Canis lupus familiaris: one gene and its partner. Each later gene encodes a partner of the first gene's protein in a complex. Links are inferred from orthologs where the notes say so. Each region holds a gene or a part of one and is shown on either strand. Other genes may lie near its edges.

Evidence for each region. The genes of interacting proteins can lie anywhere in the genome.
Region 2: the proteins of CNOT1 (region 1) and CNOT9 are in contact, whole or in part, in a crystal structure (PDB 4CRU), measured with the Homo sapiens proteins. The link is inferred for Canis lupus familiaris from reciprocal best matches to the Homo sapiens genes CNOT1 and CNOT9. Residues at the interface, in NP_057368.3 of Homo sapiens: Ile1415, Ala1416, Thr1418, Thr1419, Gln1422, Ile1423, Lys1426, Asp1427, Phe1428, Met1444, Asn1447, Leu1448, Gly1451, Met1452, Met1454, Ile1455, Arg1458, Glu1459, Tyr1548, Gln1549, Arg1552, Met1553, Pro1554, Gln1556, Ile1557, Leu1559, Val1564, Lys1567, Gln1568, Leu1569; in NP_005435.1 of Homo sapiens: Arg19, Glu20, Tyr23, Ile26, Asn27, Ser30, Ser31, Pro32, Arg35, Pro54, Met55, Trp57, His58, Ser59, Phe60, Gly61, Ile63, Ala64, Ala65, Leu67, Gln68, Val71, Asn72, Tyr74, Pro75, Ser76, Ile77, Asn78, Pro79, Thr81.

Annotation. Positions count from the first base shown.
Region 1 is NC_049223.1:57,306,525-57,311,033, forward strand, and holds the start of CNOT1 (CCR4-NOT transcription complex subunit 1), read left to right. Parts: upstream 1-1,706; 5' UTR 1,707-1,855; exon of another isoform or gene 1,856-1,898; intron 1,899-4,509.
Region 2 is NC_049258.1:25,060,378-25,064,702, forward strand, and holds the start of CNOT9 (CCR4-NOT transcription complex subunit 9), read left to right. Parts: upstream 1-1,520; 5' UTR 1,521-1,925; coding exon 1,926-1,949; intron 1,950-2,270; exon of another isoform or gene 2,271-2,409; intron 2,410-4,325. UniProt on the Homo sapiens protein: Component of the CCR4-NOT complex which is one of the major cellular mRNA deadenylases and is linked to various cellular processes including bulk mRNA degradation, miRNA-mediated repression, translational repression during translational initiation and general transcription regulation.

The DNA of each region.
Region 1 (4,509 bases):
ATTCTATAAGTCTCTTTGCTTTCGAGTAGGGACAGAAGCCACCCAGAATTCTTGACAACATACAGTTGAAGAACTTTGATCTCCAGGCTACTGTGTGAATCCTACAGCTACTTGGCTAAGTCCCCAAGGCAAGTCAAATTCTAGGAGTGGCATTGATGTCGTTTTAGGGGAGGGACTGTCGGTGGGTTAAGAATGTCCTGGAACAGCCTCAATATAAAGTAGCAAACCATTTTCTGGCAAAGACAGACTGAAGTGGGGAAAGGCAACTCAGTTTTATTTCAACTTATTTTAGGAGATCTATGTTTGAGGCCTGAACTAGTTGTAGAATTTCAGAGTTGACTTCAGATAGTTGACCTTTATGGGTCTCACTTTGTCTCTTTTAAAAATTTAAAAAGAGACGCCTGGGTGGCTCAGTGTTTGAGCATCCGCCTTTGGCTCAGGGCGTGATCCCGGGGTCCTGGATCAGCTTCTCCTTCTGTTTCTCCCTCTGCTGCTCATCCCGTCTGTGGTCGCTCACTGTGATGCTCTCTCTCAGATAAATAAATATCTTAAAATAAAGTATTTTTAGACACAAAAGGTAGCATGAGACAGATGGTTGGGAGACAAGCCACTGAGTCTAGCCCAGGATGCAGGATGGAGTGATGAGGAGGGTCTTTTTTTTTTTTTTTTCCCCCAAAAGGTAGAAAAACCAAGCAGTCATCACTTCCTTCCCCGTCCTCCCACCTTTGTGTGGGAACAGGTGACCATAAAATCTTACAATCCGATATAGGTAAATCGCAGCAAAGGTATGTTTCTATGCTTTTTCTAATGAGAGCCTTTCTGATACCTCTCTGATAGGTATCCTGATACTGCTAATAGGGCTAAGTCAAAAAGAGAATCTTAGCTTCCCATCTTTCTGTAAGGGGTCCCTTCTTCAATAGGCAGGACTAGATAAGGAGAAAGTTCTGATAAACGTGTGGCAAACTAGGACCAGGTAGGAGACTACATTCCCCAGCATGCAATGCACCCTTAGGACGCAGTCCGTGGCGGAAGAAGACGCGATACTTCAGCGTCAAGGATGGCGCGCGGGGCAGAGGGACGACTACACGTCCCAGAACGCAGAGCCCCCCCCGCCCCACCCCCCGCCCGTAGTTATAGCCTGGCTCCTGGCTTGTTTTCCGGTAACTGGCGTTCTTACCAAAGGGACGCCAGGGGAGGGGGGTGCAGCCCCGCTGTATACCGGACCCGGCACTTCGAAAGGGGTTAGGAGAGTCGGGAAAAGTGTCTAACGCTCATTCAAAGTACTTCCCGCGCGGGGTGGCGAGGGTTTATGGGGCCCCTCCCATATTTATTGTTTCTCAGAGGCACTGCCAGGCTCCGATTGGTCGAAGACCTCGAGGGCCGGTGGGAAGTCCGTGAAGCCCCAAATCGAAGTTGTCTGCGTCTCCCCATTGGTCTTCCTCTCGAGCGCAGGCGCGAGGGCCCCGACTCCCGTCCCCAGGGACGGGGAAGCGGCAATTGGCCCGAGCCCGCGAAGTAGGAGTCCGGATTGGTAGTTGCTAGCAGGAGCCTGGTTTCTTCCTTGACTTCTGCAAGTGATAGTGTATGATTGGTTTAAATCCGCGGGCACCTGACGGTGATTGGGCGGGAGCCCCGGGCTGGGGCCCATCATTGGCTGGTGCCGGGGCCGTCCCTCCTCGGGCGGGCAGCGAATGATGAAATGGGAACGGGGAGGGGAAAGGCCGCGACGTGAGCGCGCGACCTCCGGCGCCATTTTGTAGAGAAACAAGCGGAGTTAACCGAAGAGGGGGTCGACGAGAGCCGGAGACGGGGACTCAGGAGTTTCCTGTGTCCAGCGCTGCCGGAGCCGCCTGAGGTGAGGCGGGCCGGGGTCGGCGGCTGCAGCCGGCTGGCGGTGTCAGCGTCGGGGCGCGAGCGCCCCTGGGCGAAGGGACGGGGGCGGTCCAGGGGCCATTGGGAGCGTTTCCCGGAGCTCCGCGGGCTGAGGGGCAGTCGGGACCGGGAAGTGGGGAGGCGGGAGACGGCGGGCTCTTTCCACGGCTGGCGGAGCCTTCGGGCTCTGAAGAGAGGAGGCTGGGGCGGAGGCTTCAGCGAGCGGAGCGCAGAGCGCGGGGTGAGCCCCGCGGCGGTCGGCGGCAGGCGGCAGGGCCTGGGGGCCGCGGGGGCGGCCGGGGGGGCGGCTGGGCCGCGCTGGGCGCCCGCTGCACCCTCGTCGGACCCCACGAGCTCCTCAACTGCCCCTTTCTCTGCGGGCTTCCGGAGGGGTGCAGCGGGCTCCGGCCCCCGAGGCCTAGTTCCCGAGGCGAGGGTCCGTGGCTGGAGTGGCTGCAGGCGCCTGGGTCTTTCTGGGGGATGCGGAGCCGGCCGCCCGCTCCCTGCGCCCCCAGCACGTTGTCACCCCCCGGGTGTTTCGGTGCCCGCCGGTGCGAGGGGCGGGCGGGAGCCAGCACTTCCTCATTACTTCTGGCCACAGGTTTTGTTCCAGTCGCGCGCCGGGGCGCTCCGACTTCTCTCCGAAGTCGCCCACTCGGGCCGGTGAGTCTGAGCTGTAGAGGCGGCTCGGCCCCCCCCCCCCCCCCAAGTGTCCCCCCAGTGAGCGGAGCGCTTGTAGGCCTGGGCGCTGGGGAGAGACTTCCTTCCTGCACCTCTAGCAGAGAGGTTGCTTGAGGCCAAACACAAAATAACTCATTCGGTACCAGTTCCTCTGCAAAACTTGCCCAGCTAGCCTCACACAGATCATTATCCCCGCTAGGAGTGAGGTTTGTAGCTTAAAAAAAAGAAAGAAAATGTCTGATACCTGTGGGTTTGGAAATGCTGTGTTTAAAGTAAACTTTGAGAAGTAGGCTTTCCCCCCCCCCCCCCGAAGCCACCCAATCAAATGTCCCATTGCTTAGGACTCTAATAAAAAAAGTGTTTTCTTCCTGTAAGCAGAGTAACGATGCTTCTTTCCCCTTTTCTCTGTAATTCTGTTGCCTTGGAAGATTTAACAGCCAGTAATTTGAATAAACTATAATTGAGTATTTGGGGGGTAAAAAATTCTGATCATGGCCCTCGTGACAATCCGTTTGATAGGAATAAGGATACATATATGAAAAAAGGGGAGGACAAGGAAAAAATTAGAAAGGTCAAACATTTAGAGCAAGCCTGTTTTTGTTGGGGTATTTGGGTTTAATATGTTAGTAATGTGTGGCTCAGGTTGACTTTATCCTTCTAAAGCTGGGCAGCGTGGTATTTTTGCTATTAATATATATGGTAACAGTTTAAGTAGTCTTGTTTTGGGACACTGCAAATTGTTACCTTGTCTTAGCAGAAAATGAGCCGATGATACATAAAGTTTTAGGCATCCAGTTTTACTTTAAAATGGTAGTATGTTGATAAAACCTGTTGAGAGGGTTGGTCCCTTTTCAACAAGTGTTGGTCCCAAGACCTTTATTGGAAACTTAACTCTAGAATCAAGGAACAAAGACTGGACCATTAATAACTGACAGCGTTTCCCTTTCTTGCTTAAGATATAACCTTAGAGGTTTTAAAGCAGGGTTTTGTGGCATCTTGGTGGGACTGAAATGCTTTTGGTTCCTAAGTCAAATATATTAGTTTCTGGCTTAGTTTTTTTCCTCTAATCTCTAAATTTCTACTAGGCTTGTTTAAATCCCACTCTCTTCAAAATGGAATCTTGTCAGGCTAAGTACTGTGACGTTTTAACTTTGGGTTATGTCGTTTAGAAACAAACTGTATAACTGTATGAACACAAGAGGAAATGCTGTCTGTTCAAGACCCTGCTTAAAGACTGATCTCATCATTGCATGTTGCTTTCTCTAAGCATGTTTTTTGTTAGATTCTGATACGTAGTTATGAAAAACTTTTTGAGCAGCCTGAGTTGATGAACTTGAATTTTTTTTTTCATTCCATGAGGTAACAAAATTTTGGGCATTCAGTGCGTGGAAGGGAATTTGTCCATAATTCTAATTAAATGCTCACACATTCTTCTTTTTTCTTCTTTCTTCTTCTTAGATTTTATTTATTTATTCACGAGAGACACAGAGAGAGAGGCAGAGACACAGGCAGAGGGAGAGCAGGCTTCATGCAGGGAGCCCGATGTGGGACTCCATCCCAGGATTCCAGGATCACGCACGCCCTGAGCCAAAGGCTGGAGTCCAACCGCTGAGCCACCCAGGGATCCCCTCACACATTCTTTAAGGCACTAATTTTTGTTAAGATGTTTATGCTTCTGGAATGACCAAAAATAATAGCCTGCCATTTTGAAATGCTGTATTTTATGAACTTTGGTATACTTTATTAGTACAAAACTAACTTTCAGGTCATTTAAAAATATTAGCTGAAGCATTTTTAAATGGCCCTCTGACCAAACTGAACTTCCTGCTGGGACATTTCAAACTGGCATCCCACCGAGTCTTATTTTAAGACCTTATATATAGCAAAGTCCTACATTTCCTTTTCTGTTTGCTCACAATTTTTAAGAAGCATGTTTCAAAGCTAAAAGGGGCTCAA
Region 2 (4,325 bases), on another chromosome or scaffold:
AGGGAAAAAGCTGGAAATTAAAATTCTTAAGTCTTCAACATACAGGTGGAATTTACAGCTTCGGGCAAATTAAGAATTTGCAGCAAAGGTGAACAGACCTAGCACTAAACCCAGATATTCCATTTCACTCCATCAAACATCTCGCGCTGTGTTCATCGATTACTTTGATGTCACCCGGCTTTACAGCCCTCATTCAACTCTACATTTCAACAGAATTCAACAACTCTTGATTACTTCTTTCATCTCTTTAACCGGAGATTTGACCTCTGTACAGTTATTAAACACCAAGAATCCCTCAGTGCTCCATCCTGGGTCCGTTTTTTCTAGCACTACACTCTCCTTAGGCAATTTCATCCACATGCATAGCTTCAGTTACTATCAACATGGCAGATGACACATATACATGAATTTATACAGCCTGTCCAGAGCTCTCCTTTGAGCTCCAACCCACTACATCCAACTGCCTCCTTGACAGCCTTAGACCTGTCCCCAGTTAAGAGACTTGTCCATACTGCCTACTCCCCCCACCCCCGCCAAAAGGCATTTACAGAGCCGAAATTTTGAAAACGATTACCACAAAACCACTACAAGCCAATTCTCCAGAACACAGGATTTTGTCATCAGTGATCATTTCCTTTCCGTGGATCATGACCTAAAATAGGTAAACCTGACAACCCGATCTGATAGCTAGAAGAGGAGGAGCAACCAAACGCACGACAAAAATACAATCCATGCCTTCCAGTGAGAGACAGACAGGAGAGGGAAGAAGACGAAAAATGGTCAAGAGAGACTATCCAAGGCCTGATGGGTGTGCGGCAACAGAAGTCACCTGAAGAGACAGCAGGCCTTGCTAAGGGGCGGGTGGCGGGCGACGACAGCCCCCAGCGAAAGGGGGCCAGGTTTGGGTTGCGGAGCAAGAGCGTGACAAGGAAGACCAGGTGAAAGGAAAAGGAAAGCCTGGGGGGAAACCCCAGAGGAGTACCTGTGAGGCCCTGGGAGCGCCGAAGGGGTGGGGGTGAGCGGAGCAGCAGCGGGGCGAACTCCAGAAGAGTGAACGCCGAGTGGGCGGACCGCAAGGGGCGGGGGGCGGGGGAGGGGGACCTGGGAAAACGGCTCGGTTGAGAAGCTGGCCGCCGGGCCCACCTTACCTGTGCCTGCGGGTCCGGAGCCCTGCACCGGCCTGCCGGAAGCACAGAGTCCGCGCGGAGGGGGAGGAGCCGAGGGTAAGGAAGGAAGGGACACCGGGCACGGAGGAGAGGGGCCGCTCACTCCCCCTAGTCAGGGAGAGCGGCTGATGGCGGGAACTGTGACCACACGCAAACACGCACGCACGCACGCACACTCGACGCGCCCGGACGAGGCGCGTGCGCGCAAGCCTGCAAGCTCCGCCCTTCCTACGCCTTCGCCCCGCCCCGGCACCGAGCGCCGCCTAGCCGAGAAGGCCCCACCCCCGCGGGGAAGTGGTACGCATGCTCACTCGCCGCTTCACGCACTCTGGTCCTCCCATCCTTTCCCTCCTACACAGCCCGGTCGGGCATGCGCACTACGTGTCCTCCGAGACCGTCCGGCTTTTCCCGCCCTTCCCTGGCCTCCGGAGGAGAGTCAGAGTTCACGCCCCTGTCTGGGGAATACCTGCGCAAAGCCAGAGGCTGCGGGGACTAGTAGGTGGCAGACGTCCTTCTGGCTCAGAATCTTAAGGGGTAAAGGACATACTCTGGGACTCAACTCCGCCGAGAGCCAGGAGGCGGGAAGAGGTGTGTGGGCGGGGTCAGGGGTGAAAGGTCATAGGGCCGCGAAGGGGGCGGAGCGAGCCGGAGGCGGATGGCGGCTGCGGCGGCTCTTCATCTCTGGCGGCAGAGTCACTGAAGCGGGGACGCGGCTGCGGCGCGTCCGGCAGCGGGAGAAGAGCGGCGGCCGCTCCCAACATGCACAGCCTGGCGACGGCTGCGGTGAGTGGCTGGGCGTTCCGGCCTGGGCCCACACCCCCTCCTCAGCCCCGCGTCTCGGCCTGCTCTCGGCGGTCCCCGTGTCGGGCCCGGCGTCCAGCTCCTCCTGCCCCCCGGCTGCGAGGCCCCGGCCCTCCTCCTCGTCGCGCCCGGACCGTGGCGGAGCTGACCCCCCACTTTTCCCTCGGGTCGGCTCTCGCGGCCTCCTGCGCCGCGTATCGCGTTCTTTTCCGGCCCCGGGGCCTGGTCCCGCGCCCGAGCGCCTCCCTCGCGGCCGGGACGGGCCATTCATTGATTCCCTGCGCTGACCAACAGTTTCAGGTGCCGGTTGCGTGCCGGGCGGCGGCGGGGATGACGGGGAATTCCGTGGTCGATCCGACACGGCCCTTGCGCTCGGACCTCATGCCCCGGCACTTTGCAGCGGGAAGGAAATGGCTTCTAGCTCGCCCCACTTGCTTCACAGGTGGAAAATCTGAAAGTGGGAGAAGTGAATAATTACTACGTCTGACTTACGGTTCCCTGCGCTTAAAAGTCCCCCCCCACACACACAGCTCATTTTACCAGGGCGGTCTTTTAACAAGAAAAACGGATCGTGTAATTCACCCGTCTGAAGTAATTTTTTGGCTTTCCATTGCATTTACATAAAATCTAGACTCCTTGCTGGGGCCTACAAGGCCCTCCCTGTGCCATACGGTCCCTACCCACGTTTTGCGGTGTAATCTTACATCACTTGCTCCGTAAGCTCCAGCTACATCGGCTGCCCCTGCTTTTCCACTCGGCTTGCACTTTCTGATCTCTATTCCTGGGATGCTCTTCTTACCACGTACCCACCCCCAGTTGCACATGCCCATACACACCCAAACTGGATCCTCTTCCCTGGGGTCTCTGCCTAAATCTCCTTAAAATAGCCTTCCCTGAGCACTCTTTTTAAATAAGTTCTGTAACCCCCAACTTTTCTCCGTTAAAATATCTTTATCAGCGCTGATCCCAGTTTTGTCATTTCTGTGTTCATTTACTTGTTTGTTGACTGTCTGTCTTGAGGGCAAGGACCGAGATCCTGTGGGTCCTGTTTACATGGTTACCCCAAGTGCCAGGACAGTTCCTGGCACAAAGTAAGGGCTCAATTATTTTGCTGAATGAAAGAGTATAGATGAGGGAGGTGACTACAGAGAGCACACAGCCATAATGGGAAAATGAGATCGTGTGATTGGAGTACACTCTTCTGAATACCAGTTGCCCTTTTCCTGTTTAACTAAGATGAAGTGACTCAAGAGGGGTAGTATACTTAAATTGTATTATCAGGAAAAATGACATAAGTACTAAACAGGGAATCAAAAAAATTACTTTAAATATAAAAAGTGGAAAACTGGTATTGAGTATGACTCAGCTGTAGAAAACATTGCTATCTCCAGGGCCAGTGGCATCTCTGCCTCCTTGTCATCATGTTTCTAAGTGTTCATAACTACTCAGTGGATACCTTTACATCTTTCAGTTAGTTAATTGCGGTTCCTCCAGCTTTGTTGTTTCTTCTCCTAAATTATACATGCAGTTGAGGAAGAAGCAAGTCAGAAGATGAGGCTGCTGTTGGTAGGGGAGGGATAGGTTACACAAAGGATTCTTCTAAGCTTGGTTTGTCCAATTCTCAAAATCTGATTGTGTCTTCTCCAGGCTTTGATACCAAACTACTCTTTTGTCCATGACTCTCCAAACACCATGCTTACTCAACTCCTTTTATTTTTACTTGTTCTATAATGCATCGTTTAAGAGTTATTATTCATTTATTTTGAGAGAGAGGCAGAGGGAGAGAGAGAATCTCAAGCAAACTCCTGCTGAGCATGGAGCCCTACTCAGGGCTCAATCCCACAACCCTGAGATCATGACCTGGGTGGAAATCAAGAGTTGGACTCTTAGCGGACTGAGCCACCCAGGCACCCCAAACTAATGTATCTTCTGAACAGCCATTAAAGCTGTGGTTCATTACTTATAATAAATATTCAATATGTGTTTCTTTAATTAAATTTGCAGTGCTTTACATTGATTTAAAATTTAAGATTTTAGATACATTTTCATCCATCAGTGCTTTTGAGCTCCCACAGAAGCTCTGAGAAGTTCCTTTGTAGCATTCATTCCCTAAACTATTTGATTACTGAGGAAACTGAAGCATTGACAAGTTGAGCCACCACCTCTTTCCCAATCCTTCATGCATTCTATTAGACTAAACTGCCTGTGTTATTCTGATCTGGGTAAAGGGACAGTAATGGTATATGATAACATACAATAGTGCCTGCAATAATCTAAGCCACTTGAGAAGATGTTTTTTTGCTTGATGACAAATTTTGTACTCGTGTGTACCTTTATCTTTTTTAAAATAACAAGTAG